7 linked regions of the Oryctolagus cuniculus genome follow. The main gene of each other region encodes a partner of the protein of the gene in region 6 in a complex. Links are inferred from orthologs where the notes say so. Each region holds a gene or a part of one and is shown on either strand. Other genes may lie near its edges.

Region 1 (3,809 bases), on a different chromosome or scaffold from region 6:
CCACAGCAGGGCCCCCACTTCCCGTCCTGTCCCCCCCCAGCAGGGCCCCCACTTCCCATCCTGTCCCCCCCTGCAGCAGGGCACCCACTTCCCGTCCTGTCCCCCCACAGCAGGGCACCCACTTCCCATCCTGTCCCCACAGCAGGGCCCCCACTTCCCGTCGTGTCCCCCCACAGCAGGGCACCCACTTCCTGTCCCCCCGCAGTAGGACCCCCACTTCCCGTCGTGTCCCCCCCCACAGCAGAGCCCCCACTTCCCGTCCTGTCCCCCCCAGCAGGGCCCCCACTTCCCGTTGTGTCCCCCCCCCGCAGCAGGGCACCCACTTCCCATCGTGTCCCCCCGCAGCAGGGCACTCACTTCCCGTTGTGTCCCCCACAGCAGGGCACCCACTTCCCATCTTGTCCCCCTACAGCAGGGCACCCACTTCCCATCATGTCCCCCACAGCAGGGCACCCACTTCCCGTCCTGTCCCCCCCCCACAGCAGGGCACCCATTTCCCGTCCTGTCCCCCCACAGCAGGGCACCCACTTCCCATCTTGTCCCCCCACAGCAGGGCACCCACTTCCCATCCTGTCCCCCACAGCAGGGCACCCACTTCCCGTCCTGTCCCCCACAGCAGGGCACCCACTTCCCGTCCTGTCCCCCCACAGCAGGGAATCCACTTCTCCGTCGTGTCCCCCCGCAAGCTGCCTGCGCTGCGGCTTCTGTTTGAGAAGGCGGCGCCCCCGTCCTTGCTGGAGCCGCTGCAGCCGCCGGCCGACGTGAGCCAGGACCCGAGGCACATGGTGCTGGTGCGGGGCCTCGTGCTGCCTGGTGAGCCCGGTGCCCGCGGGGTGGGGGCTGGGCTCTCTGCTGCCGCCTCTCTCTGACCTGGGTTTGGATTTGGTCCTCTCCATCCTGAACCCCTCCTGTTGGCTCCCAGTTGGGGGTGGCTCGGCGCCAGGCCCCCTGCAGCCAAAACAGCCGGTCCCGCTGCCTCCTGCTCCGTCCTCGGGTGCCGCACTCGCAGCCCCCCAGCAGCCTCTGCCGCCCGTGCCGCCGCAGTACCAGGTACGGGTGTCACTCCTGGGCCTCAGGGAGGGCGTCCTCCGACATCGGGGCTGGGGGTGGTGGCCGCTGCCCCGGGGTGTTAAGAGGCTGGCGTCTGCCTCGTGGGGCTGTGGGGGTGCGCCCCATGGCGTTCACAGCCCCCACCAGCCGCTCCCCTCTGCCCCCAGGTCCCTGGGAACCTGAGTGCAGCTCAGGTCGCCGCCCAGAACGCCGTGGAGGCCGCCAAGAACCAGAAGGCTGGCCTGGGCCCCCGCTGTGAGTCCTGGGGCCGCCATGGACGTGGGCTGCGGGCAGGCCTCAGCGCGGCCCTGCGCCCACCACGCCCTCGCTCTCTCCTGCAGTCTCGCCCATCAACCCTCTCCAGCAAGCTGCCTCGGGAGTGGGTGCCCCCTTCAGCCAGGCCGCTGCGCCCCCACTCCCTCCAGGACCCCCTGGTGCCCCCAAGCCACCGCCTGCTTCCCAGCCTAGCCTGGTCTCCACTGTGGCCCCTGGCGCGGGCCTGGCGCCCTCTGCCCAGCCCGGGGCACCGTCCATGGTAGGTGCCTGGTGCCCCCATCCCGCTCCCTCCTGGCTGCCGGAGCCATGCAGTGTAGGGGACGAGTGATTGGCCCTCCTAGAAGCACCCAGGGGGGCGGGAGGCTTGTGGCTCGACGGTCACAGCTGCTCTGCAGCCTGGGGCTGCCCGGCCCAGCGCCGTGGGGCGTGGCGTCCTCGGATGCAGTGGGGCCGGGCGCGGTGCTGTCCCCAGGAGCGGCCAAGCGCTGTCCTGGGCGTGGGGTGAGAGGAGGAATCTGGTCCCGGTCTTCCTGACCGGCCGGCCTCCTGCAGGAGGTGGTCTGAGCCCGCGCCCTCCCCTGCTTCCCCTCCGCAGGCCGGCACAGTGGCCCCTGGCGGGGTGAGCGGCCCCTCCCCGGCCCAGCTGGGGACCCCGGCCCTCGGCGGGCAGCAGTCGGTCTCCAACAAGCTCCTGGCCTGGAGCGGGGTCCTCGAGTGGCAGGAGGTGAGTGGCCGCCGGGGCGGGGGTGCTGTCCAGGGGCGAGGCCTGAGGACACGGGGCTTGGGGCTGTGGGTTCAGGATGAGCGAGTGTTCAGAAGTGCGAGGGAAGATCCCAGAACTCTAGGACGTGGGGTGTAGACGGGCCTGGTATGGTGGGGACATGGGGTGCAGACAGGCCCAGTGTGGCGGGGACATGGGGTGCAGACGGGCCCGGCGTGGTGGGGACGTGGGGTGTAGAAAGGCCCAGTGTGGCAGGGATATGGGGTGTAGACGGGCCTGGCGTGGTGGGGACATGGGGTGTAGATGGGCCCGGTGTGGCGGGGACGTGGGGTGCAGACAGGCCCAGTGTGGAAGGGACGTGGGGTGCAGACAGGCCCGGCGTGGTGGTGTCTGGGGGGCCATGGACTGTGGGGAGGGCCTGGAGGAGGCCCAGCATTTGAGGCATTGGCAGGCCAGAGGAATGTGGGACGGGAGGCCTGGCGCAGGGCCGGGGCTCCAGCACACCCAGACCTTTGGGGCTGCCCAGCAGGGGCCGGGCCGAGGCCTGGGGCCCACTCACTGACACACTCTTCCTCCCGAGAAACCCAAACCCGCCTCCGTGGACGCCAACACGAAGCTGACGCGGTCCCTGCCCTGCCAGGTCTACGTGAATCATGGGGAGAACCTGTAGGTGCTGGGGGCGTGGCGGGGCAGGGGCGGGGCTCTGCTGGGCCCCGCCTCTCCTGACACTTGTGTCCTCCCCCCAGGAAGACCGAGCAGTGGCCTCAGAAGCTGATCATGCAGCTCATCCCCCAGCAGCTGCTGGTGAGAGGCGGGACCCCTATCCCCCGCCCCGCCCCGCCCCGCGCCTTCCTCGTGCCCCACGGGGCTTCCGTGTCTCCCGCAGACCACGCTGGGCCCGCTGTTCCGGAACTCGAGGATGGTGCAGTTCCACTTCACCAACAAGGACCTGGAGTCCCTGAAGGGGCTCTACCGCATCATGGGCAACGGCTTCGTGAGTGCTCCCCGGCCTGCAGGAAGTGCTGCCCCCACAGGGCTCCCGGGGTGGCCTTTCCTGGGGCGCTGTCCAAGTTGCAGGTGTACCCCAGGCCGTATGCCGGGGGTCCTGTGTGCTTCCACAAAGGCAGGCTAGGGCAGAGTGACGGCAGCCCTGTGCCCCCGGCTGGGCTCGCCTGCCCTGGGCGGAGCCTGCCCTGGGCGGAGCCTGGTTGCCTGGGAGACTGGGGAGGAACATCACCCAGCCTGCCCGCGGCCGGGATGCGACGCTTACCCAGGCAGCAGTGGCGGCTGCACACAGTGGGGAAGGGACAGGGGCAGGCAGTCAGCTCGCAGGGCCTGCCTCAGGGCAGGGCACCGAGGCGCAGGAGTGAGCTGGGGTGGCCGTGGTCGGCCCCCTCAGGAGCCCTGCGAGATGGGTCGCCCGCCCGGGCTCAGCCACCGGGGCCCGGGGAGGCGCCTGCCTTGTCCTGGCCGCTTGTCTGCACGGCCACCTTGTGCCCGCTGCCGCCTGGCCGTTCCGGGGCCGCAGGGCTGTGGGACTCCTGCCCTCCGTTCTCCTTGATCCCGTGCCTTCGGGCAGACGGGGTCTGAGCCCGCGCCCACCCTGTGAGCCCGCCCGCGGCCTTGGCGTCTCCTGGGGTGGAGGTTCGGAGTTGCAGAGCTGGACCTCGCCGGTGTCGGGCCCCCTCTCTCTCCTGCCCCTCTCGGCGCTCGGCGGCACCCCAGCCTCGCCCTGGCTCCCCCACCCCGTGCGGTGGTTGGC
Region 2 (4,527 bases), on a different chromosome or scaffold from region 6:
TCTGCCTTCACATAAAATAAATCTTAAAACAAAATATGTATTTTAGACTCTTCACATGCATGTCCAAACTCATTAAGATTATGCACTGAATATATACAATTAAATATATACAATTCTTTGTCTATCACTTATACCTCAAAGCTTAAAAAAAGTTCTAAAGGCAGAAAAACAAAAATATCCCCGGTCTAAGAAATAAAAGACCAAGAATGAATAAATTTACAAAGACATCTTGCCATGTGTTCTGGAATACACAAAAGCATAAGGAACTCTCATTAATGCCCGTGAATTCCAAGGCACATTCCAGCCGTCCTACATACCCATCTCACTGACCTTGGCTTCCAAGGGTAGAGGCAGCCGTGTGATAAGTCTCACAATCCACACAAAACGTTCCTTGCTTCTCTGCCCCAAGCATCTCCAATTTTCGGGTGAGGAGCTCCACGGTCTGCTGGACACTCTTGCCCTCGGCCACAGGCATCTGGGACACACTGGGAAGGAGAGAACCACAGTGTCAGTACCCAGACACACACATACTCACTTAGCCATTCTATCCACAGAACTGTGGCTCAGCCAAGCCAGAAGCTACGACCCCACCCCTCCCTCACGTTGTAAAGATGCGGAAATAGAAGCCGCCAGCCAGCCAGCGCCGCGGCTCACTAGGCTAATCCTCCACCTAGTGGCACCGGCACACTGGGTTCTAGTCCCAGTCGGGGAGCTGGATTCTGTCCCGGTTGCCCCTCTTCCAGGCCAGCTCTCTGCTGTGGCCAGGGAGTGCAGTGGAGGATGGCCCAAGTGCTTGGGCCCTGCACCCGCATGGGAGACCAGGAGAAGCACCTGGCTCCTGCCATCGGATCAGCGCGGTGCGCCGGCTGCCGGCTGCGGCGGCCATTGGAGGGTGAACCAACAGCAAAGGAAGACCTTTCCCTCTCTCTGTCTCTCTCTCTCACTGTCCACTCTGGCTGTCAAAAAAGAAAAAGAAAGATTTTGGTGCCAAAACATTGCATAGTTTTTCATAATACATACTTTCTGTGAACTTTCTGAAGTACTTTCAGAGAATCCCTGAAGCTACAAGGGACAGAGGTCCTAGGATTTTGGAAAAGTTGATAAGGGCGCCCCCAGGAATGGCCGGCAACAAAGCCAGGAACTTCATCAGGTCTCCCACGTGGGTGCAGGGGCCCAAGGTCTTGGGCCATCTTCTACTGCTTTCCCAGGCCATTACAGAGAGCTGGATTGGAAGTGGAGCAGCCAGGACTTGAACCAGTGCCCATAAGGGATGCCGGCACTGCAGGCAGTAACTTAATCTGCTACACACAGTCCCAACCCCTGTGCTGCAACTTTTCCACCTCCATCCCGCACCAGCACCCTCACTCTGCAGGGCTTGGGAGGGTTGTGGTAGGGGAAACAAGAGTGCAAGCCCCAGAAACCCCTGGCTACTGGGAGAAATTGTGTTCCCTCTACCCCCAACTATTTTTAAAAGAGAAGCCTAGGGGGCCAGTGCTGTGGTGCAGTAGGTTAATCCTCCATTTGTGGTGCCGGTATCCCATATGGGTGCCGGTTCGAGTCTTGGCTCCTCCTCTTCCAATCCAGCTCTCTGCTATGGCCTGGGAAAGCAACAGAAGATGGCCCAAGCGCTTCGGATTGGCGCAGCTCCAGCCATTGGGGCCATCTGGGGAGTGAACGAGCAGATGGAAGACCTTTCTGTCTCTCCCTCTCACTGTCTGTAACTCTACCTCTCAAATCTTTCAAAAAAGAGAAAAAAAAGAGAAGCCTATAACTCCTGGCTTCAGATATCCTGGCCTCCAGGCCTCTCTGATGAGATGCTCACAACCAAGACTTAAAAAAAAAAAAAAAAAGAAGAAGAAGAAAAAAGGTGCAGAGACCCAGCACCTTGGAACTAAGGTCTCCAAGATCCCTGGGTTCATACCCTTCCCCTCCACCCCATCCTCTTCCATCTGGGTTTGAGAACATGTTCAGAGATTTAAAAGTCCATTGGGGGCCAGTGCTGTGGCGTGGAGGGTAAAGCAGCTGCTTGTAGAGCTGGCATCCCATGTGGGTGCCGATTTGAGAGCCGGCTGCTCCACTTCCGATCCAGCTCTCTGTCATGGCCTGGGAAAGCAGTAGAAGATGGCCCAGGTGCTTGGGCCCCTGCACCCCCATGGGAGACCTGGAAGAAGCTACAGGCTCCTGATCGGCCCAGCTCCGGCTATTGCAGCCATTTGGGGAGAGAACCAGCAGATGGAAGCTCTCTCTCTGCCCCTGCCTTTCTTTAACTCTGCCTTTCAAATAAATAAATCTTTTTTTTTTTTAAGTGCACTGAAACTGAATCAACCGTATAAACGTAGTAGGAGGCAGGTCATGAGGAAGTAAAGTGTCTGGAAACCTGATCTTCTAATTCCCAGTAGTTTCCATTTTGATCCTGTAGACCCGAATGAGAACCAGATACAGGCTGATTATTGGGTGGCTACAGGTAGGGGGAGGCGAACACACAAACACCGCCTCGTTGCCTATCTCCTATCAGCTTTAACCCTACCTGCGGGTGGGTTCTAGTCTGAAAAGCCCTGTTTCCGACCTCGAAGTCCCACTTTCTGCACTACTAGGATTTCAAGGGTAGCAAGACGTACCAAGAAAAAGAGAAGAGGGTACACAACCCATGCATAAGGTTCCTGAGATAAAACCTTTTCCTTGCTTCCTTCCAGGAGCAATGGGGCCCATTAGGGCCCGAGACTCACGGCCCTTAGAGTGCCCACATCCACGCAGCCCGAGGGCATTTTGCTCAGCTCCCGGAGAACGGCGGACTTCAGTCCCCGACCCTCCAGGTTTCAAGGGACCTTCACGACCCAAGTCCCGCCCCATAAAACCCTTTGTGATCCTACCAGGTCACTCCCATAGCGTCAGGCCTGGAAAGCGGCACGACCACACAGCCGAAACAGCGCTCTCCCGAAGCCCACAAGAACTAAAAACTACCGCAGGCTCGGGTCGCGGGAGGGGCTCCGGAAGTACGTAAAAACAGAGCGCCGGTTAGACGCACCAGCAGCGACTCTGGGTGACGCCTCCAGTGAGGTCATCGGCCCGATTCCCAGCCCCTCCCCTGGCTTGCAGTTCCGGAAGTTTCCGTTTGGTTGGCCACCCTGGTCCTAGATCCAGAAAGCTAGGAAAGCGTGGCCCGGGCTGCCACCATTTAGAGACGTCAACGTCAAAGGCAATGCATTTGTTCCGGGCTCCGGCTCCAGGACTCGGGAGTTCCCTGCGGGAGTGCAGTGGTGCTGGCTGCTTTTCTGGCCTCCGAACGCGTAGGGGCGCTGTGAGCGCGTGGCCTCTCGGCACAGACCTGGGCGTTCATTGCCGAGCGCACATCCTGGGCTGTCGCCGTACCCACGTGTGAGTTTGCCGGGCCGCATTATCGAGAAAAATGCCGAAATTCAAAGCGGCCCGTGGGGCTGGGGCTCAGGAAAAACACGCGCCCCTGGCCGAGCAGATCCTGGCTGGGAACGCGGTGCGGTCAAGTGCCCGGGAAAAGCGGCGGGGCCGCGGAACCGGGGAAGAGGAGGAAGAGTATGTGGGGCCCCGGCTGAGCCGGCGGATTTTGCAGCAAGCACGGCAGCAACAGGAGGAGCTGGAAACCGAGCACGGCTCTGGGGACGGGCCCGCCAAGCCTCGGGAGCGCGCCACGCGGCTGGGTGAGCGTCCGCGGGGAAGGCAGTAGTTGGGTTGGGGGGTGGACGGCCCACAGGTGTCCGGCAGGGGAGTACCTTGGATTCAAAACCGGGTTGCACGTTGCTCTCTACCGAGAGCAGGGCAGGTGGAAGACCGAACCCTGCAGGCCCGCTCCCTGTTTTTAGTGCTCCTTTCGCCGCGTCCCGCAAGTTAGGCCAATAGGAAGTGATGGCTCAGGCCACCAAGTTCTCCTAGCATTTGTCCAACGGTTTTGTAAATATGGGATGCTCGCTACCGGCTTTGCACGATGCTGGGAGTTTTGATGGATTGCGTGCAGAAATAAACAAGATATAGCTCGGGACCTTACAGTCTAAACCAAGAGAGAGACAATTAGAACAGTAAATTCCATGGGAAAGAAAGTCTCGTTTCTCTGGAAACGATAGCATTCGTGTAGGGGTCAGAGTTGCCCAGCCTGGAAGCTGAGACCTGAAACCGAATGTTCATAACAGAAAAAGCAGTATTGTTTAGGGGCCAAGTGGAGGGAGAGATGATTGAAAAATGTTGACTGTTTTCTCATAGGGGAGAAGCCTTGACCTCTGAGTTGTTTAACCGACTTCTCAGAGCTTATCTTATTTGTAGAAAAGCAGTATTTGACGCAATTGAACCCTGCTCTTCTGGCTACAGTATCTTTATCTGAAAGGCAGAGAGAGAAAACTTGCTTCCCCTAATCTACTTCCCAAACGCCTGCTGCCTGCTACGGCCAGGGCTGGGCCAGACCAAACCTGGAACTCAGTGTAGTTCTTCCGGGTGGGTTGCAGGGACACAATGACTTGAGCTCCCTCCTGTTGTCTCTCAGGGTCTATATTAGTGGGAAGC
Region 3 (3,332 bases), on a different chromosome or scaffold from region 6:
AACGGATTCAAGTGAAGTCCTAGAGATTCTGAGACAGAGGCAGGACAGTGTGGAAGATATTTCAACTTCAGATTTCTGGGCAGAAGCCGTGGACTGCAGGAGACCCCAGAGCTGCATCAGTCACTGTAGCTGACATGCTGACACACTGAGGAGCGATGGAGAAAACAACTCTGAAATAACTGCTATGGGAGGATGGCCCTCTTAAAATACAGCGGGGGGGGGGGGGGGGGTAATGAGAGCAGAATACAGGCCTGTAGATAAAGAGAACAAGCCAATCAGGATGAAGAAAACTCACAGCAGCCTGGGAATTTCATTGAGTCAAGGCTTTCTCAGTCAAAGCAAACGTGGAGGTGAATTCAAAGGGACATGAGGTTCTGCAAGAGCAAAGGTTTGCCTCAGTGTGACCTACTCTCACCCGGCCACACTAACACTTTGGGTTTCTGAGAACTGACAAATTTTCAGAAACTTCCTTTCTCAAAGCTCCAAATTTATACAATGCCACCTCCATAGTGGCAAAGATACCAGCCCACTGAAAGATCCATCTCTGCACTGAGAATGTCTCTTCTGGCTTCAGGGTTGTTTTCATTTATGAAAGGACTACCGATTTTTTTTTTTTTTTAAGATTATTTATTTGAAAGAGTTACAGAGAGGCAGAGAGAAAGGAGAGACAGAGAGAGGTATTCCATCCACTGGTTCACTCCCCAAATGGTTGCAATGGCCAGAGCTGGGTGGATCCAAAGCTTGGTGCCAGGAGCTCCTTCTGGGTCTCCTATGCAGATGCAGGGGCCCAAGGACTTGGGCCATCTTCCACTGCTTTCCTAGGCCATTGCAGAGAGCTGGATCGGAAGAGGAGCATCCCAGATTCTTAACAGTGCCCATATGGGATGCCAGCACTGCAAGCGGTGGCTTTTCCTGCCACCCACAGTGCTGGCCCCAGGACTATTACAGAAATTTGAGTTTTAAACAACATACAAACTTTGTCACCAAAGAACAGTGCATGTTTATTTGTATTTTGATCACAAATGCAGTATCTGCCTTAGTAATCTCAGATTAAAAAAAAACTGATAGTTTAAAGCTGGTTCAATCACAACTTTATATGCTTGTTTATCAAGAGTAAAAATAGAAGATTTTAAAAACAGCTACAAAGGTAAAACATGTCATAACGTTTAACGTTTCTGTAACTGCTGGTAAGGCTGACATTTAATCCAAGGTAGAATTCTTAATGGCCTTGAGACAGTTCTTAGCCGCCGGCACGTGCCGGTGCTATGAGTCCGGCAGGGTCTGGCTGTGGGTGCCGCTCCTCGTCTTCAGCTGGGACTGTGCAATGTCAGCGAGTGCACTTTGGATCTTTTCCAGAAGCATGTCCCCTCGGTACACAACATCCTCCAGACAGGTGGCAGCTTCGTGGTTCTCCTCTTCTAGCTTATATAAGCTAGCAGCCTTTTAAGACATAAATTTGACAATCTTTTAGAGTGGAGAAGAGACTGCAGTAGAGGTATTTATTTTTAAATCTCGGTGATTTTGCAACCAGTGATACAGTTTTAATAGGAGAAATTCTCAAAGTGAGGTAACTTAAGTTCCTCCATATGATTATAAAGTAATGGATTTTCAAGAGATCTTACTATCTAGTATGACTCTGTTCCAAACTGCCTTTGCTATCCATTATTTTATTCCTCGTTCAGAAAGCCACCATCCTTTCCTTCTTTGCTAGAAAAAGATAAACCAGAACATACAAGGTTTCCTTCTAACTCAAAATTGGACAACTACTGTACAGCTATTCAGCACAATCTTCAACAGACAATACTAGCACTGAATTAGTGAAACGCCCATCTTAGAGGCTGACATCATGGCGCAGCACGGTAAACCATCATCTGCCACACCAGCATCCCATAAGGGCGCCTGTTCAAGTTCTGGCTGCTCTACTTCAGATCCAGCTCCCTGCTAATGTGCCTAGGAAGGCAGCAAAGGATGGCCCAAGTCCTTGGACCCTTGCACCTACATGGGAGACCCGGAAGAAGCTCCTGGCTCCAGCCTGGTCCAGCTGTGATCATTTCGGAAGTGAACTAGAGTATGGAAAGTATGGGGACAGTGTTGTGAGATGCAGTTGGTTAAGCCACCTCCTGCAATGCCAGCATCCCACATGACTGCTTGGGCTCCTGTCACCCACATGGGAGACCCAGATGGAATTCCAGGCTCTTGGCTTCAGCCTGACCCAGGCCAGACTGTGGTGGCCATTTGGGGAGTGAACCAGTGAATGGAAGGTATCTCTGTCTCCGGCTCCCTCTCTGACTTTGTCTTTCAAGTAAATCCAAGAGTAAATCCTTAAAAATAATCATAAAATAGTTCTGAATATTACAATGAAAGTCAATAAATCTATCTCCTTCAATTCAAAATTCTCTGCTACCAGTAAAATTCTCTAAGAAAAAAGGTTGTTACCTGTAACGCAGCTGTGGATTCTTCACTGGGTAAAGAATCTATCAAAACATCAATATCTTTTGCTGTTCGTGCAATAAGTGCTGCAAAAAGCTGGGCATACTCTGCAGAAAGACTACTCAATTAGTATGAGAAAATCTCGGGTTTACACAAACAGAAAATTAGATTCAAGTTAATGAAACCAGGAAACTTCACCTAACTTTTTAATATTAGAATTCCAATGATCAAAGTGTTATTTTAATGAGTCAGTGTAGTGATGCACTGGGTTGAGCCACTAATCGTAATGCTGGCAACCCATGTCCCAGTGCTGGTTCAAGTCCTGGCTCCTCTGCTTCTGATCCTGCTCGCTGCTAATGTCCCTGGGATAGCAGCAGAAGATGGCCCAAGTACTTGGACCCCTACCACCCATGTGTGAGACCTGGATGGAGTTCCTGGCTCAGTCCCGGCCTTTATGTCCCTGTGGGGAATGAACCAGTAGATGGAAGGTATCTCTCATGCTCTCTGTCTCTCCCTCACTCTCTATCACTCTGCCTTTCAAATAGAAATATTTAAAAGAAAAAAATCAATTTCAAGGCACCAGTTCTGTTACATATTTAACTTAATACAGGCTCAGAGAATTAAGCCTAAGGCATGTTCACTTCATGTATTAGGATAATATGGAAGACACTAGAATCAATGAATCTGTACATGGGATGCCCTAATTATCAGGGTCCGTCAGTAAAGTTCAGCCAAATTCCTAATTCTCTCCAAGGGCACCAATCTGGTATGACACAAGAAGAATTATGGTATTATGCAAGTTAACTACAATAAATAATTTCTGGTATGACATACAAAACGTCCAGTAGTACCTCAGTAACATCTGTATAAAGAAGCAACAGAGTGAATTTCTAAATAAATCT
Region 4 (3,809 bases), on a different chromosome or scaffold from region 6:
GGCCCTCACCTTCCCGTGGTTGTCAATGCCCACGAGGGCCAAGGACGTCCAGGAGAGCTGCATGGCCTTGAAGTGGACGGCGGGGCCCGTGGTGCGCGGGCGCTTGATGGCCGGCTCGTCCACGGAGCGCGGGGCCGCGGAGCTGTAGAAGACGGCCATGGTCTGCAGGGACAGCCGGTGCACGATGTGGACGCTGCCGTCCTGGAAGGCCAGGGCCAGCCCTGGGCGGGTGGGCGGGCAGGTCAGGGTGTGGCCGTGGCTGCCCGCGGCCTCCGGCCCCTGTTCCCACAGGGACGGAGCCGCCAGGACCTGGGGCTCCCGGCAGGGGTGCCTCGGCCTTCCAGGAGCCAGACACAAAGGGCCTGGGGTGGAAGGGGGTGGGGGCTGTCCCTCCCCTCGCCGCAGGCCGTGAGGCGGGGGCAGGGCCTGGGCTGGGCAGCTGTGCAAACTGAGGCTTGGTGTGGAGACCTGGGGAGCTCAGGGCCGGCATCCAAACGTCAACACAAGCCAAGAGCCCGGCTCGGACCCCTGCCCCGCCCCAGGACACGCTGACCCCCCCCAGCCCCAGGACACACTGACCCCTGCCCAGCCCCAGTGCATGGACCCCCCCTGCCCCGCCCCAGGACACGCTGACCACCCCCGCCCAGCCCCAGGGCATGGACCCCCCCCTGCCCAGCCCCAGGACACGCTGACCCCCCAGCCCCAGGACACGCTGATCCCGCCCCGCCCAGCCCCAGGACACGCTGACCCCCCAGCCCCAGGACACGCTGACCGTCCCCTGCCCCGCCCCAGGACACGCTGACCCCCCCCAGCCCCAGGACACGCTGACCCCCCCCGCCCAGCCCCAGGGCATGGACCCCCCCCGCCCAGCCCCAGGACACGCTGACCCCCCCAGGACACACTGACCCCTGCCCAGCCCCAGGACACGCTGACCCCCCCACCCCAGGACACGCTGACCCCCCCCCCCCGTCACGCCTACCGAGGCCGGGGTAGAACTGCGTGTCGCTGGCCACCTTGAGGTCGGTGTTGGTGAGCGAGACGGGCAGCTTGGGCAGCGCCACGGCCGACACCCGGTCCAGGTCGTTGGTGGCCGACAGGATGCGCCACTTGAGGATCATGGGCTGCTTGTCCACAACTGGAGGAGGAGGAGGAGGTGGCCGCTGAGCCCCGCCCCGCCCACCCCAGGGGACAGCTGCCCCCGCGGGCCGACAGGACGCGTCCAACACGGCGGAGCCCCGGAGGCCGGCCCCTGACCAAGGCTCTGACCCCGTGCCTGCCCGAGCCAGGCTGCACTGTGGCAGGTGCCCGGGGTGGACGCCGCGGCGAGGAGGGTGGACAGCAGGGGCCACATCTCGGGTCTGACGGGGCCCCAGGCTCCCTGACTCAAGCCCCCAGGGCCCTGCTGCGGGAGCGTGGGGACCCAGCCTGGTCGAGGGGAGGGGGACGGGGCTCTGGGCGGGGCCGCGGTCACAGGGACAGGGCTGGACAGAGCCAGCGTCCCGGCCTCCCAGGGGCCCACAGCTGCGCGAGGACGAGGGCTGAAGAAACGGCGGGCGCAGGCCCCGCGAGCGTCACGCCCTGCCTGTGCGCCCAGCACTGGGGGGCGGCTGCCGGGGAGCCCAGGGCCCTGGGGCAGCCTCCAGGCCAGCTGGGGTGTCCACTGCGGGAAAAACACCTGTGTCCTTGGGGGGTCTCTGTGTGGGGAGAGCAGGCTGTGTGGGGGGGGGAGCAGGCTGTGTGTGGGGGGAAGCAGGTTGTGGGGGGGAGCAGGAGCAGGCTGTGTGTTGGGGGAAGGCCACCACCTGCCCCCTCCCAGACCCCAGACCCGGTGCCCGATGCCCCCCAGACCCGGTGCCCGATGCCCCCCAGGCCGCTGCCCGCCGCCCACCTAGACCCGGTGCCCGATGCTCCCCCCCCCGCCCACCTGCGCCCAGACCCCAGACCCGGCGCCCGATGTTGCCCAGGCTGCCGCCCGCCGCCTGCCCCCGCCCAGACCCCCGACCCGGTGCGGTGCCCAGTGCCCGGCGCCCGAGCCTGCCCGCGGGGCTGGCATGAGCGGCCGCCCCAGCGCCCTCACCGGCGGGGGAGATCTGCTGGAAGACGTTGTTCACGGGCAGCCCCTCCTTCCGCAGGGACCAGCACTCCACCAGGCTGCTGGTCTGGCTGGACGCGCACAGGAGCACCTGCGGGGGGGGGGGGCAGAGCGCGCTGGGGGCGGGGCCCTGGGCGAGCGCGCGTGGGCGGGGCCCTGGGCGAGCGCGCGCGCGGGGGGCGGGGCCCTGGGCGAGCGCTCGCGGGCGGGGGGGGGGCAGAGCGCGCTGGGGGCGGGGCCCTGGGCGAGCGCGCGGGGGGGGGCAGAGCGCGCTGGGGGCGGGGCCCTGGGCGAGCGCGCGGGCGGGGGGGGCGCAGAGCGCGCTGGGGGCGGGGCCCTGGGCGAGCTCGCGTGGGCGGGGGCGGGGCCCTGGGCGCGCGCGGGGGGGGGGGGCGCAGAGCAAGCTGGGGGCGGGGCCCTGGGCGAGCGCGTGGGCGGGGGCGGGGCCTCCCGACGCCCATCGCCGCGGGCGCCGGAGCCCGGGCGGCGCACCTGCTCGGACATGTCGCGGGCCAGGAACTTGAGGTGGGTGATGGCCGGGAAGCTGTCCTTGCGGCTGAGCGCCGTGGTGCAGCGCATGAAGAGCGAGGGCAGGATCTCCGTGTCGATGCGGCACTTCTCGCTGACCACGCCCACGCACACCTTGTAGAACTGCACGGGGGACGCGCTGCTGCCGTCGGCCGCCGCCACCACGATGTTGCCGCCGCCCGTGAAGGCGATGTCGGCCAGGGCCACGCGGCCGCGCAGGCGGCACAGGCTCTCGGTGGACGTGAGCACCTGCCCGCTGGGCTTGAGCAGGGACACGGTGACCAGGCCGCTGACCGTCACGGCGATCCAGCCCTCCATGGGCTTGCCGCCGAACAGCGTGAGCGACGGCGAGAACTTGACGCGGGAGAACTTCTCGCCGAAGCTGGAGGCGCCCGACTGCGGGAGAGGCGGAGGGGCCGGGCTGCCGTGCGCGCCGCACCGGGACCACCGGAGCCCCGCCCCCGCCCCACCGGAGCCCTGCCCGCGGACCACCGGAGCCCCGCCCCTGCCCGCACACCCGGACCACCGGAGCCCCGCCCCCGCCCCACCGGAGCCCCGCCCGCGGACCACCGGAGCCCTGCCCCTGCCCGAGCACCCGGACCACCGGAGCCCCGCCCCTGCCCGCGCACCCAGACCACCGGAGCCCCGCCCTCGCTGACCCCGCCTTGCCTGTGCGGGAGCCCGGGACACGCCTACCGCGGAAGCCCACGGACAGGGCTGAGGGGGGACACGCGTGTGCCGGACAGGGCTGAGGGGGGACACGCGTGCACCGGACAGGGCTGAGGGGGGACACGCGTGTGCCTCTCAGGCCCAGCCACATCGTGGGGGGCTGCTGCCGCTCCAGTGCCACATCAGGCCTTCAGATTAACATCACGCCCACGCCCGGAGAGACGCGGGAGCCCCGGCCCCTCCCCCAGACCCCCGGCTGCCCCGGCCCCTCCCCCAGGCCCCTCCCCCAGACCCCCGGCTGCACCCGACCCCAGTCGCTGAGCCGCCTGCAGCCTGTGCTGGACTCCACCCGTGGCCGTGGGCGCCGGCTCACACCACGTGGCCGTCCACCCGTGGCAGGCGCAGCACAGCCCCTGAGTGGCAGGGAATTCTGGGATACCAGTGGCTCAGCGTGAGGGCCGGGTCCTGGGGACGGCGGCCTGGGTGCTGGGGCGGGCGCGGGCAGCACCCACCTTCTCCA
Region 5 (3,809 bases), on a different chromosome or scaffold from region 6:
CTTCTCCCAAACTGTCTCCAGGTTGCTGTGAGAGAGGCAATGGGTCAAGGAAGTGGAGCGGCTGCGTCTGGGGCTGCTTGTCTTGCCAGATTTTAAACCGTTTGTTAGGTTGTGCTAGAAGTCTAAAAGGGAAAATAAGTGACAATTTGAATAAGGCAAAATGATATTTCAAAAGAACAGCAACATTTATGATTTAAAGCACTTATAAAACTGAAACTAAACTTTAACACTCACTTATGGAGGGATTTTCTTTTATAGATTAAATTTGTGAATAAGCAAAACTGAACAGGCTTTTGTCAAGAATACGTGATTTTGCATCTTATTTCAATGATTCCCCTTGAAAGCACAGGTTCTCAGTACAGACTGTCTAGGTTCATCTGCATCACTTAATAGCTGCATGACTCCAGTTTCTGAGGCATGAAACTAACATAATAACGTAGCTGTGGTGAAGACTAAATAAACTGCTATGTGTAGAGTAATGGGTGGCTCAAAGGCAGTATAAATATTAAGTTGTTATTACTAGACTCACAACATACCACCCGAATGCTCACATAGCCTTCCTCATGGTGTTGGCATACAAGCGAGTCACTGACTGCAAAGTGGAAAGTTTCCTAAAGCTATATTCTTTGACTAATAGAAGGCCAAAAGTACACTTACACTAAGCATATCAAAACAGCACAATGAGACCTTTATATGCCAGAGTGTTTAAATAATGACATGTATGTTAAACCTCATCACAAACAAGGCATCTGATTTCTACATGCGGAATCTGGAATGAGGAAGAAAGCTGTTTTCATTCTGGGTCTGAAGGTGTGGCAAGCAAGATCAGGAGGAGAGGCCTCACTCCTGGGAGTCTGTGCCTTGCAATGAGAACAGGCAGGTGCGGCAGGCAGTTGCCTTACCTTTGCAATGCAGTACTCTCTGAGTTCACCTCCATTTTGGCATCACATCTCTCACCCTGGAGCTCTGGAGGCCTGAACTCAGCATCATCACTGGATGGGAGACGAAAACTTTGCCACCACTTATCTGATGACTCTGGGTTCGAGGGCCTAATCCCACAATATAAGGCTGTCTCGCTGACCTCTGCCATCAGAGGCAGTCTTTGGCCTACGAGGACAGTTCTGTCATCCAGAGAAGACAACTGCTGGAGTTCTAGCCCATTTCCATAGAGGGCTGGGTTCACAGGAACAGATGGCGGGTCCAAACTCTCCGTTTCCTGACCTCGTGGCTGAGGGCTGAGTGTTGGCGGCAGCGGGGAAATAGGGGAATGAGGTGAATCCATAGGATTCAGATTCATTTGCTTGCTTGTATTTCTGGAAGGCACGGCCATTTGCTTATCATACTTCCTACTGCTGGATACCTCTAAGGAGGAGTCTATCCCTGCCAACCCTAGCTTCTGTCCTGCTGTATCTTGCTCCATGCATAACTCTTCAGCCACGGAGGGCCTATGGTGAAATGGTATCAAGGGTCTCTTTTGCAACTTGTCTCCTTTTTCCTGTCTTTCTGTTGTTTTGTGCTTAGAAGAAGCAGGAGGTGCTAAAGACGAAGATGATGATGGTCCTGCACTGAACCCTGGTTGAGATATTGTGGGAGGTCGAGTGGGTCCTGTTGCACGTTTCAAAAGTTTATGCCTGAAATGAGAGTTAAAACCAAGAAACAAATATGAATATGACTAGATAGCATCGCCATAACATCACAAAAAAGGGCCTCTAAGATTTACTCCACAGCTAAAAGCATGGACTAAAAACCACAATCCACGCTGGTGGAAAGTAAAGGATCAATCAAAGACAAGGTGAAAGAGGGGAGACATGGACTTAGCAAGAAACATAAATGAATGCATTTCTAACCCCTATAAAATTACTAATTTGGAAAAAAAAAAACTCACATCTTTAAATTTGGAAAGGGCCTTAGCTAAGGCATTCATAATGCATCTCCAAACCATGAGAGCAGAATCATGAGATCACCTTTCATTTCAGGAAAAACAAAGTTTCCAATTTCTATTTTATAATACTCTAGTAACTCAAATATAGAATGGTTTATAATGGCTTGTTGTAAACTGGAAATAAAATAACTATGTATGTAACTCTCCCCTATGATGATGAGGGTCAAGTCCAAGAACATTTAATAACATAAATGTACTAGAAAACCTTGTATGTCACTATATCCAGGGAAGAACAAAAGACAGCTTTGGATCTTACAGACACACATTAAACCGAGAGAAAAGGAAACAGGCTGTGAGCTAACATCACACACACACGCACCTGGACCCTCTAAGCAGGAGCACCAAGTCTGCTCAGATGCTAACATACTTCTTGGCAAGCACAGGTGTGAGAAATGGCTCAGTAAGGGCCCACTAGATGATGCCAAGGTTTAATCTGTGCAACCAAGTTATACAGCAGGTCAGCCAGTGTCTCCCAATGTATAAATCATTCCCAGGGAAAAATGGAAGCTCTCCTGCAGCGTAGCAGTAACTCTCTGAGGCCACTAGGCATTAAATTACTACCACATTGCACTAAATGGTGCCCTAGCGGGCAATAAAAGGGATTTGTATGGCATAATGGGATGGTTTATTGGGACAGCGGGATGGCCGCTCTACTCCATGAGGCCGCTGAATAGTGTGAGAAGTGGACCACTCCCTAATGGGTCTAGTAATCCTGCTGCAGATCATCTGAAAACACTCCTGCTAAAGTCTTCATTATTCTGAAATAATAAAACAAAACTTCGACATTCAAGAAAGTTGTCAAAGCACAACGCTATCGACAATACAGCTAACGGTGTGCTTTAAGCCCCAAGGGCACAGCACCACAGAAACATGTGGACGTTTCCTTGGAAAATCTCCCAATCATATCTTCTAAGGGTGCTCATTTGAAAATCCAGACTCCAGAAATCTTTTACATAAAACTTTCTGATTTGGATTTGCTCAAAGACCAATTTAATATGGTAGACTCTTCAAAGTAAAGACTTTCTGCAAAGTGGATAATCTTACCAACCAAGTCAGATGTTTCACTGATATTTAATGACAGCTATATAGCCAAATGGTTACAGCAGAAATGTGGCTGATTACTGAGCAGGAGAGAACCTGTTGGGAGTAGACAGCAGGAAGAAACCAGAGCAAGGCCAAACACTGCAAAAAACACATGGTAGGAAAAAGAGGAGGGAGGCTGGACGAGAATAGGTATTTCAGAGGAAGTCAACATAAGATACAACGACAGGTTAGATCTAAAGAACGAGCAAAAATCAACATATGATGGTTTCTAGGCTGAGAAGAAAAATTGTAGTAGGACTACAATAATGTACTTGGTTTGCAGGGAAAAAAAAACATGTCAGTATGAAGGCTATTTTTTAAGGATAGCCCCTAAAATATAAGACTACAGCATATGTGAGAAGTCAGGTGTAGAGCTAAAATCTGAAAGTCAACAGAATGATGACCTGGTACACAAATACCTATTTAAAACACACACACACACACACACACACACACACACCAGCCTTGAGGGCCGCAGACGTTATGGTGGAGGGAGTCAAGCCATTACATGGGATCACTGGTTCAAATCTTAGTTACACCAACTTCTGATTCAGCTTCCTGCTAATGTGCTGGGGAGGCAGCAGATGATGACCCAAGTACTTGGATTCATGCAAACTGTGTGGGAGACCCAGATGGAGTTTCTGGTTCCCGGGTTGACCTGGCCTACCCTCAGGGCATTTGCAGAGTGAACCAGTGTATGGAAGATTCTCTCTGCCTATCAAATAAATAAATCTTAAAAAACAAAAACAAACAAAAACACAGGGACTTGCAGATCTGTCATTTG
Region 6 (4,295 bases):
AAATCAATCTTTCAGGAATATTCAGCATAAACAGACATCCAGAGATGTGTTTTAATCCTCACAAGAGTAAAAGTCCATGTATGGTAAGCTTTTAAAATTGCAGCAACTATCAGAACATTAACGTTTCATTCCACTATAATATCAAGAGTTACATCAGGTGCAACTGCACAGAACTCCTTGATTAGCTCTGGGCTAAAGTGAAGCTAACCTATGGCATTGCAATCCATCAATACCTCTCCCCTCAATGCGCACACACACACACACACACACACACAAATTTACAAGTAACTGTTGTGACTCTTAACAATGTTAAATGATTTCATTTCTTACATGCAAGGATTTTCAAAGTGGTCCCAAATTGGTTTTGTACCTCAGCCCAACACTCCTCTCACAGCAATGTATTTTTTAAAAAGTCAAAAGAGAAACGGTTGTTGAGTTGTTCAAGAGCCATTTCCATCTTGCTCACTGACCAAGGTATGAGGGAGGAGGTGTGGAACAAATTTAATTTAATTAAGGGAAACCAGAATGTCCTTTGGGGGTCTCTGGTCCCAAGGTCTACACCAAGCATATTCCAGTTGGTAAAAAAAAAAAAAAAAAAAAAAAAACCTTAAATTTGAGACTTGTTAATTAGTTCTTGTCTGCTAGAAGTGTTAATTGGAAACAGCCTCTGTCTGAATGCAAAGAATGCATATTTCACACAGGGAAATTGGCCTGTAACCATTTTACAGTGAGTTGGTGAGACCTTAATGCAGCAAATCCCTATGCTAGTAAACAGGAAATGAGGGAGAAATCAAAAGCACATCACCCAGGAAAAGGCCCATCTCTACAGATGGTAATCTTGAGCATGCATCAGAATTGGAGGAAGGCTTAACACCAAGCTTGCCACGCCCTGTGCACCAGCAAGTTTCTGGTTCAGAAGGTCCAGGGTGGAGCCAGAGGAGCTTGATTTCTAACAAATCCCCAAGTGATGCTAATGCTGCTGGTCCAAAAGGACAATGGAGAACCACTGGCTTCTGTCAGAGAGTAGCAGGCAAAGATCCTGATATGAGGCCAATGGGCGGGAGGGGGAAGGAGGGAGGAGAAAAGAAAGTACAGAAATAAAATCTCAGTACCCAAGACAGTTTATTTCTTGTTCACATTAAGTTAGCTGTAGAAGGAAGAATGGAGTTAAAAGAGGACCTAATCTTCACATTCTAGAACCAAATTACTATAAACTGTTGTCACCAGGCTTGCATGGGTGTGGGCACACACCTAGCCGACTGGGGAACAGAATGGAAGATCGTGCAAGAAATCTTAGGGCACAGACTCCATTTCCCAGAACTTAGTCACATGGCCTCACACAGATATAGGGCAGTAGGGAAATGTGGTCACTGGCTGAACAGTGATATCTCAGCAAGAAGAAGCGCGAATCACTGGTGGACATCGAGCAGTTGCTCCCACCAAACCCTTCTCCCACTGCAGTCTACCAGCCTTGATCATGTCTGAGCTTAGCTTTAAAAATGTGTAATTTCAAAGAATTACAAATATTTTTAAAAATCTGTAATTTCAATCCTCTTAATTACTAAAATCTGTAATCTAAAATTTCTAACTAAGCTGACCAAAGACTTTCTACCCAAGTGACTGAGAAAAACCAATTTATGGGACCTACCAAGGTTCAAGATAAGGAAAAAGAGTCTACTGAGGTAGTAGAGTTACAAGAATCACAAGGAAAAATAAAGTTTTTGTTTCATAACAAATGGGTCTCTTTTAAAATGCTATACTACCTTATGCAGATTAGGTAAATTTTTAAATATTACATAATTTCACATTTTAGAGTATCTATCCCTCATTCTTAAAGCAAATGACAAATTTACTTTTTAAGGATGAAAGTTTGCTATTACCAAGGACACTGTCAAACTTTTACTCCAACTCCAAAAAAAAGAATGCCCCACACATCTGCAGCAAACATTTTCTTTTTCAGGTCACTATTCTTAATTTACGGGTCCCTGTTTGCCTACACTTGTTATATACTGAAATTGCTGCCTATGGCATTACGTAAGTGAAAAAGCTGGAGAGTCAAGAAAAAGGCCATTTAAACTTTTAGTTATTCATTTTAAGACTGCCCAAAAGAAAATAAACCAGTAATATTATACTATTTACCAAAAGGGAAAAAAGAAAACTAACATGAGTCACGGTCTTTCATTCATTTCATCAATTAGGACACACAAGGCAGCATCTTTTTCTATAATCTGGTCCCTTCGATGACCTGAATTTTCTCTTTGCTGCTCACTCTGTCCAGTACAATTGTTGCTATCATCAGCATCCATTGGTTCAGTTTTTACTTTTATTCCTGCTTCTGAGTGGGGTAAATCATCAGGCAAAGAGGCCAAGCAATTCTGAATCATCTCAATCACTCGCTCCAGATGCTTCTGAAACCTCTCGGCTGTTTCAAGCCTCTGTCGTTTCTGGACTTCCATCATAACTCTCAAGGTCTCTCTTGCTTGGTGGGGTCTGTATTCATTTATGAGATGATGCACATGGACAAAAAGCAGCTTAAGATCTTCCAGCTTCTCTTCTCGTTTTATACTCCCAGGGCTCCTTATCAAGATATCTAAAAGGTCCAAGAAATTAATAAGGATAGACATATTGAGTTTCCTCAGTTCTTTCTTGTGATCAAATTGCATAGGATGAAGCCTTTCGATGCCCTGACTTTCCAAAGGGCGGATAATAAGATCATCACATTGGAACTGGTTGCCAAACATCATATAACTGTCTTTGATTGGAGGGGGTGGCTTGGGAGCTAGACCTTCCTGAATATTTTCATCAGTGTATTCCTTGATGTACTGCATAGGAGGTGGAGGAAGTGCACTCACTTGCTGTGGCTCACCCATTGTGGAAGATCAAGCACCTACAAAAACAAACCAAAGATTCACAGAAGAACTACAAAACAAACCTGTCACATTTAGTGTTTACAGACAGAGCACTCCCCTTTTCTTCCGGTAGTTTCAAAGCTAACACTTACAACTCAGAATGGATGCCACCCTTTTCTAATTAAGCACTATATTCTCAACAACCCACATTATTTTTCCTTCCCTGTTAATACTTCTCTCCCAATATCTTGGAGTACCTTTTCATTTATAAAGAAAAGTCTTCTGGATTCTACACCACTTACCTTTTATGTCCCATTTCTCCACATCTCTTTATAGCAAAACTACACATGCTGTCGCCCAAACACATATCACAATCACTTTTTTTTTTAGAAGGTAGATGATTTTAAGATTTACTTTATTGATTTGAAAGGCAGAGTTACAGAGAGAGAAGGAGAAACAGAGATATCTTCCATCTGCCTTTTCATTCCCCAAATAGCTGCTAAGGACTGGGGCTGGGCCGGGGCCATGTAGAATCCAGGAACTTCATCCGGATCTCCTTTGTGAGTGATATGGGTCCAGGCACTTGGGCCATCTTCCACTGCCTTCTCAGGCATATGAGAGGAAGCCAGATAAAATTGGAACAACCAGGACTTAAACCAGTGCCCATATGGGATACTGGTGTTGCAGGGAGCCATTTAACCTGCTGCGCCACAATGCCAGCCCCTACAATCACTTTTACTATTACGAAGTGATTTCCCAAAGTAAATACTTATAACTCAAACATTTTGACAAAATTAACATTACTAAAATCTAGATACCCAGTATCATCCAAGGCTCCTAGATGAAATGATTATCCAAGTCTGTATCTTTTTTCTACATTTTATGCTACAATTTACTAACCTTTCTGTATCTACTATAGAAACTTGAAACCCAAATTCAAACCCACAGCTTCTATGGCCACAATCACTTCTACTTACTCCTTTTTAAACATAGGTATTATCATCCAATCTGAAGATTCTCAAGTGCTCTTTTAAACCGATCTGAACAGTTTTAAGACACACCCCTCCGACGTCAGGAGGCGGCAAGTACCCGTGTGCCTCTGCGGATGCGCACCCCTCGACTTCAGCTGGCATCTTTCCAGGGTCAACTCCCTAAGAGGCATCACTGTCTCACATCCTCTCCACATCATCTTCCTGCCAAAGCTATGACCTAAGTACACGATCAATTCTATTCTTCGGATGAGGATCCCAAGTCTTAAGGGCACGTGTCTGCAGATCGCATAACTACTAACGGCACAACAGCAATTCCTACCCCACGTCCTTTCAGCTCCAACCCGCGAAATCTCTTCAATCACAAATCCTTAAGCCACGAACCGTCTAAGAGTACAAGAAACACTTGGGACTCTAACACCATTATGTTTATGTTTATTCCGTATCACCTCTCTAG
Region 7 (4,279 bases), on a different chromosome or scaffold from region 6:
CGACAACCGTGCCCTAGGCTTTCACCTAAGAATGTAATTTCCCAAGTTTCCCCTTTTACTCTCTTACCATGAGATCTTCATCCCGGTCTGGGGATAACACCAGAGGGATGATGACCTGGTTGCGGAACAGCGGTGTCTTTTCATGCTTCAAGACCTTGTTCAGGGTGTTCAACTGTCCAGAAAGCAAGGCAAAGCTGTCCAGGACAGAGGGCCTAGTGGTGGTAAGAAAGTGTCAGAATGTTCTAGCCCTTCCCTGGGGTGTCTCCCAGTGAGATAACCTTTGACAAGTCCTCAGATTAGGAAAACTGAGACTGACCCCCAAAAGACTCATCCCCATCACGAGCCTCGGCAGGACCCAGACCTGGAACAGGAATGCGGGGTTAGGAAAGAGGGACACGCTTTCAGCTCCTGACGGAGGCAGAAAAAGGCAGTTCATTGTTTGAATGGGGTGAGAAACACTGGAAAACAGGAACCATGGCTATTCTATGACAAAAAAAATCAGAAACTGGGTGAAAGCCTCCTTTCTGCCGGGAAACAGGAGCCATACTTCAGCAGTAGGCTGGATCTAAAAGACAGCCACATTAGTGGCAAGAGATCCAGCATGGACTGAGATATAGTGGGAAGACCCACTGAGAGAGAACTCCTGACCAGAGATGAAAAGGGTAAGAATCAAAAGCGGCCAGCGCCACGGCTCACTAGGCTAATCCTCCACCTAGCGGTGCTGGCACACCGGGTTCTATCCCGGTCGGGGCACCGGATTCTGTCCCGGTTGCCCCTCTTCCAGGCTAACTCTCTGCTGTGGCCAGGGAGTGCAGTGGAGGATGGCCCAAGTGCTTGGGCCCTGCACCCCATGGGAGACCAGGAGAAGCAGCTGGCTCCTGCCATCGGATCAGCGTGGTGCGCCGGCCGCAGCGCACCAGCCGTGGCAGCCACTGGAGGGTGAACCAACGGCAAAAGGAAGACCTTTCTCTCTGTCTCTCTCTCTCACTATCCACTCTGCCTGTCAAAAAAAAAAAAAAAAAAAGAATCAAAAGCTAGAAAGAACGTGGCTGGGCCGGTGCCTTGGCTCACTTGGTTAATCCTCCACCTGCGGTGCCAGCATCCCATATGGGCACCAGGTTCTAGTCCCGGTTGCTCCTCTTCCGGTCCAGCTCTCTGCTGTGGCCCAGGAGGGCAGTGGAGGATGGCCCAAGTGCTTGGGCCCCTGCACCCGCAAGGGAGACCAGGAGAAGCACCTGGCTCCTAGCTTCGGATCAGCGCAGCGCCGGCTGTAGTGGCTGTTTGGGGAGTGAAGCAACGGAAGGAAGACCTTTCTGTCTCTCTCTGTCTATATCTCTACCTTTCAAATAAATAAAAATAAAATTAAAAAAAAAAAAGAAAGAAAGAAAGAACGTGGCTTGGGAAACTGGGCCGCTCTCTACTTCCTTGCCACGGAGGCCCTCAGCCAAACTTCACTTACTAAATGTTGGGAAACCAAGCTCTTTCCAAATTACCCGACATCTGCAAACTGATAAATGGTTACATCATCAGAGATGAACTACTCGTCAGGAGCCCTCCCCAGTTTGCCCTGGCAACCCTTACCAGGTTAGCCTGTCATACTCGTTCTCCAGCTTGTAAATGAAACTTCCCAGTGAGTTCTTCAGATCAGCCACTTGACTCAGCAGTGCATCTAATGACGCCTCCAACTGCTTCTCCTCCCTCTGCACCAACAGAGATGGGCTGGTTACCCAGAGAGATATGAGCATGACACCTTTAGAAGAAGGCTGAAAAGCGTCGGAGAGAGTATGCCAACCGCAGTTGGCTAACACCGGATCTCACTGGAATGACAGCCAGGTTATTTTCTATCTTTGGTATTTGGGTTACAGACAGCACCAACCCTTAGACCTTTCACCTGACCTTAAGTCCTCCTACCAACTGATTCTCGCTCTCACACCTCCAAATCCAGGCCTGCTTTTCCTCTGTATTGCACGTGCCCTACTCTCCCTTGTTGAGAAACTCCTGCCAGACATAATGCCTGGGATTCATCATCCTATGCACATTTCTGTGGCACGTGTGCCCTAGCTTCCTTCGTCCTAGAATCTGCCCTGTTCTTGTCAACAGCACAGCCCCTGCGAAATCTGCCTGGACATGAAGCTTTCTCTGAACCCTAGTTCTGCACGCCCCTGCCCCTCGCTCCTCATTCGTGCTTAGTGGGTGATGTTTCAACTTTCTCCTTTATTTCTGTGCCAATATTCCTGTGCCTCTTTCACAAGCTCAGCTGACCCAGAAGGACTTACTGAAACACTGCCCCATCCAAGAAGCAAAGCGACAAGTGAAAAGCAAAACCACCCACCCAGCTCACATGACAAGCAATGTCAAGTAGTGGGGGTCTGCAGGCATTCCCTTCCCACGGTGTGGGGGGGTATCTTCCGTTTTACTTCATTTCCTCCGTCTTAATAACTCTCAGGCACAGACTGGGAAAAATGATGCCAACCCCACACTGCGCCTGACAGGAGCATCATCTTGGGTTTCACCCAAGGTTTCAGTTGATAACAACTTAGCTTCTGGCCAGCTCGGCCCACAATTCCTTCACCCTTCGGGCTTCTCTCCGATTGCAGATTCGCCGTTACGTCTGCATCCAACAGCCTAGGCTGAGGCTTGAGCCAATTCATGTCTCTCTCGGGCCGTCTCCCTTGGATTGTATCTCGGCTTTCGCAAACTACATCCTGATGCTTTCCCAGCCCCAAACAAGCGGCGGCTGCCTCCGCCCTCCCGACTTTGCTAGTCTCTCCCCTGTCAGCGGACTCCGCCCCCACGTAGCATCCGCGCCGCTTCTCCACTTGGCCTCGTCTCCCCTCTGCCCTGGCCCCGCGTCCTCTTGCCTCCGCCCTCTCCTCTTCGGTCCAACTCCTAACTCTCCGCAGCCAGCCCACTCTCGCTGCGTTACCCAAAGACAGCTAGCTGCCACTAGGCCCACCCCGCTTCTCACCTGCATTGCGGCAGCCGTGGCAGCCGCAACCACTTCCTCTTCCGGTTTCCCAGTTTCTGAGGGTTTTGTCCACCAATCAAGGAAATCGGGGCTTGGCCCGCCCACCGACTTCCGGTTCCGGCCCGGTACTGAGGTAGCCAGGTCAGGGGTCACAGTGGATCTGCCTCACTGGCCCGGGCCGGCGCGGGAAGGCTGTGTGATGGCCTCGGAGCGCCCGGAGCCTGAGGTGAGGGGCGGGCGGGCGCAGAGCTGGGCCCTGAGACCCGAGCGGGAGGAGCGGGCGGTGCGGGCAGGCGCGACCTCGGCCTCCTGGCCGGCCGACGGCCGGGCCGCGTAGCGTCGGCAGGGACCCTTGCAGCCCCGCATCCCCGCAGTCCGTTCTTTCCTCCGGAGGCTGGAGGAGAAATGCTTCGCTCGCTCTGTTGTGCTTACTGAAATCTCTTCCGCGTCGCCGACTTGACCTAGTGACAGTGGTGTTAATAAACCCTGTGATTTGGTTCCTGTCGCGGTTTCAGTGCGCTGGACGGCAGCAGCCGGTGCGTGTCTTCAGACACGGGCGTGCAGTAAACAGCACGAGTTAATTTAGTTTTAGCACTCATGATGGGGAAAGCAGCTTTGGTTTTATTGGGGGGGGGGGGGGGCTTGGCTCGGAGTGAGACCCAGTTCGGATTTTAGCGCTGCTATTTAGCTCTCTCTGAAGCCTGGGGCAAGTCTTAACTTCCTGGATTCTGTTTCTTTGTTGTTAGTCTGTTGTGAGAATCACGTGTGTGAAGCCAGAAAAGGCTTAAGCTCTCTCTGTCAGATGCCAAGGACCATGCAAGCAACTTTACATACATTGTGTCATTCACGTTTGCACAATATCCATTCTCATTTTCAGAAAAGAAAACTGAAAAGTAAGATAGGTCAAGTGCTGTACATACGCCTGAGAGTAGCAGATTTTTGGAGTTAGAAAATCTGAGCATAAAATCCCAGATTTGGGTAGAGATGCCCAGCACTGTTGGAGAACATACCAACAGATGGGAACAGTGAGGAATGTGTGTAAGAATGCAAATAGGCCGGCGCCGCGGCTCACTAGGCGAGTCCTCCGCCTGCGGCGCTTGCACTCCAGGTTCTAGTCCCAGTTGGGGCGCTGGATTCTGTCCCGGTTGCTCCTCTTCCAGTCCAGCTCTCTGCTGTGGCTCGGGAAGGCAGTGGAGGATGGCCCAAGTGCTTGGGCCCTGCACCCGCCTGGGAGACCAGGAGAAAGCACCTGGCTCCTGGCTTCCGATTGGTGCAGCGCCGGCCGTAGCAGGCATTTGGGGGGTGAACCAA

What was found.
Region 1: MED7 (region 6) and MED25 share a complex: the UniProt entries of both Homo sapiens proteins name them as parts of the mediator complex. The link is inferred for Oryctolagus cuniculus from reciprocal best matches to the Homo sapiens genes MED7 and MED25.
Region 2: MED7 (region 6) and MED20 share a complex: the UniProt entries of both Homo sapiens proteins name them as parts of the mediator complex. The link is inferred for Oryctolagus cuniculus from reciprocal best matches to the Homo sapiens genes MED7 and MED20.
Region 3: the proteins of MED7 (region 6) and MED21 are in contact, whole or in part, in a cryo-EM structure (PDB 7EMF), measured with the Homo sapiens proteins. The link is inferred for Oryctolagus cuniculus from reciprocal best matches to the Homo sapiens genes MED7 and MED21. Residues at the interface, in NP_001094286.1 of Homo sapiens: Phe72, Asp73, His74, Lys75, Leu78, Arg79, Asn82, Ile85, Leu86, Phe89, Leu92, Leu93, Leu96, Phe116, Val119, His120, Ile123, Asn124, Tyr126, Arg127, His129, Gln130, Arg132, Glu133, Leu135, Arg136, Met139, Glu140, Gln142, Lys143; in NP_004255.2 of Homo sapiens: Asp3, Leu5, Thr6, Leu8, Gln9, Val12, Asn13, Leu15, Ala16, Phe19, Ile23, Ile62, Ala66, Ile69, Asp70, Ile73, Asp74, Leu76, Pro77, Ser78, Glu79, Ser81, Ala83, Gln86, Ser89, Leu90, Leu93, Glu96, Asn97, His98.
Region 4: MED7 (region 6) and MED16 share a complex: the UniProt entries of both Homo sapiens proteins name them as parts of the mediator complex. The link is inferred for Oryctolagus cuniculus from reciprocal best matches to the Homo sapiens genes MED7 and MED16.
Region 5: MED7 (region 6) and MED13L share a complex: the UniProt entries of both Homo sapiens proteins name them as parts of the mediator complex. The link is inferred for Oryctolagus cuniculus from reciprocal best matches to the Homo sapiens genes MED7 and MED13L.
Region 7: MED7 (region 6) and MED8 share a complex: the UniProt entries of both Homo sapiens proteins name them as parts of the mediator complex. The link is inferred for Oryctolagus cuniculus from reciprocal best matches to the Homo sapiens genes MED7 and MED8.

Annotation. Positions count from the first base shown.
Region 1 is NC_091449.1:7,728,234-7,732,042, reverse strand, and holds part of MED25 (mediator of RNA polymerase II transcription subunit 25), read left to right. Parts: intron 1-650; coding exon 651-813; intron 814-922; coding exon 923-1,050; intron 1,051-1,217; coding exon 1,218-1,305; intron 1,306-1,391; coding exon 1,392-1,585; intron 1,586-1,921; coding exon 1,922-2,050; intron 2,051-2,627; coding exon 2,628-2,713; intron 2,714-2,793; coding exon 2,794-2,851; intron 2,852-2,933; coding exon 2,934-3,041; intron 3,042-3,809. UniProt on the Homo sapiens protein: Component of the Mediator complex, a coactivator involved in the regulated transcription of nearly all RNA polymerase II-dependent genes.
Region 2 is NC_091436.1:127,988,355-127,992,881, reverse strand, and holds the start of MED20 (mediator of RNA polymerase II transcription subunit 20), read right to left. Parts: upstream 3,025-4,527; 5' UTR 2,885-3,024; coding exon 2,871-2,884; intron 486-2,870; coding exon 331-485; intron 1-330. Other genes in the region: BYSL (bystin), read left to right, coding at 3,407-3,674. UniProt on the Homo sapiens protein: Component of the Mediator complex, a coactivator involved in the regulated transcription of nearly all RNA polymerase II-dependent genes.
Region 3 is NC_091440.1:124,258,697-124,262,028, reverse strand, and holds the end of MED21 (mediator of RNA polymerase II transcription subunit 21), read right to left. Parts: intron 2,538-3,332; coding exon 2,437-2,537; intron 1,441-2,436; coding exon 1,264-1,440; 3' UTR 605-1,263; downstream 1-604. UniProt on the Homo sapiens protein: Component of the Mediator complex, a coactivator involved in the regulated transcription of nearly all RNA polymerase II-dependent genes.
Region 4 is NC_091447.1:58,472,282-58,476,090, forward strand, and holds part of MED16 (mediator of RNA polymerase II transcription subunit 16), read right to left. Parts: coding exon 3,802-3,809; intron 3,017-3,801; coding exon 2,585-3,016; intron 2,184-2,584; coding exon 2,078-2,183; intron 1,136-2,077; coding exon 980-1,135; intron 222-979; coding exon 10-221; intron 1-9. UniProt on the Homo sapiens protein: Component of the Mediator complex, a coactivator involved in the regulated transcription of nearly all RNA polymerase II-dependent genes.
Region 5 is NC_091452.1:12,510,023-12,513,831, forward strand, and holds part of MED13L (mediator of RNA polymerase II transcription subunit 13-like), read right to left. Parts: intron 1,632-3,809; coding exon 903-1,631; intron 123-902; coding exon 1-122. UniProt on the Homo sapiens protein: Component of the Mediator complex, a coactivator involved in the regulated transcription of nearly all RNA polymerase II-dependent genes.
Region 6 is NC_091437.1:44,110,460-44,114,754, forward strand, and holds the start of MED7 (mediator of RNA polymerase II transcription subunit 7), read right to left. Parts: upstream 2,871-4,295; coding exon 2,169-2,870; 3' UTR 2,164-2,168; intron 1-2,163. UniProt on the Homo sapiens protein: Component of the Mediator complex, a coactivator involved in the regulated transcription of nearly all RNA polymerase II-dependent genes.
Region 7 is NC_091438.1:129,634,752-129,639,030, reverse strand, and holds the start of MED8 (mediator of RNA polymerase II transcription subunit 8), read right to left. Parts: upstream 3,083-4,279; 5' UTR 2,975-3,082; coding exon 2,969-2,974; intron 1,720-2,968; exon of another isoform or gene 1,701-1,719; coding exon 1,582-1,700; intron 213-1,581; coding exon 68-212; intron 1-67. Other genes in the region: KICSTOR complex protein SZT2, read left to right, coding at 3,168-3,194. UniProt on the Homo sapiens protein: Component of the Mediator complex, a coactivator involved in the regulated transcription of nearly all RNA polymerase II-dependent genes.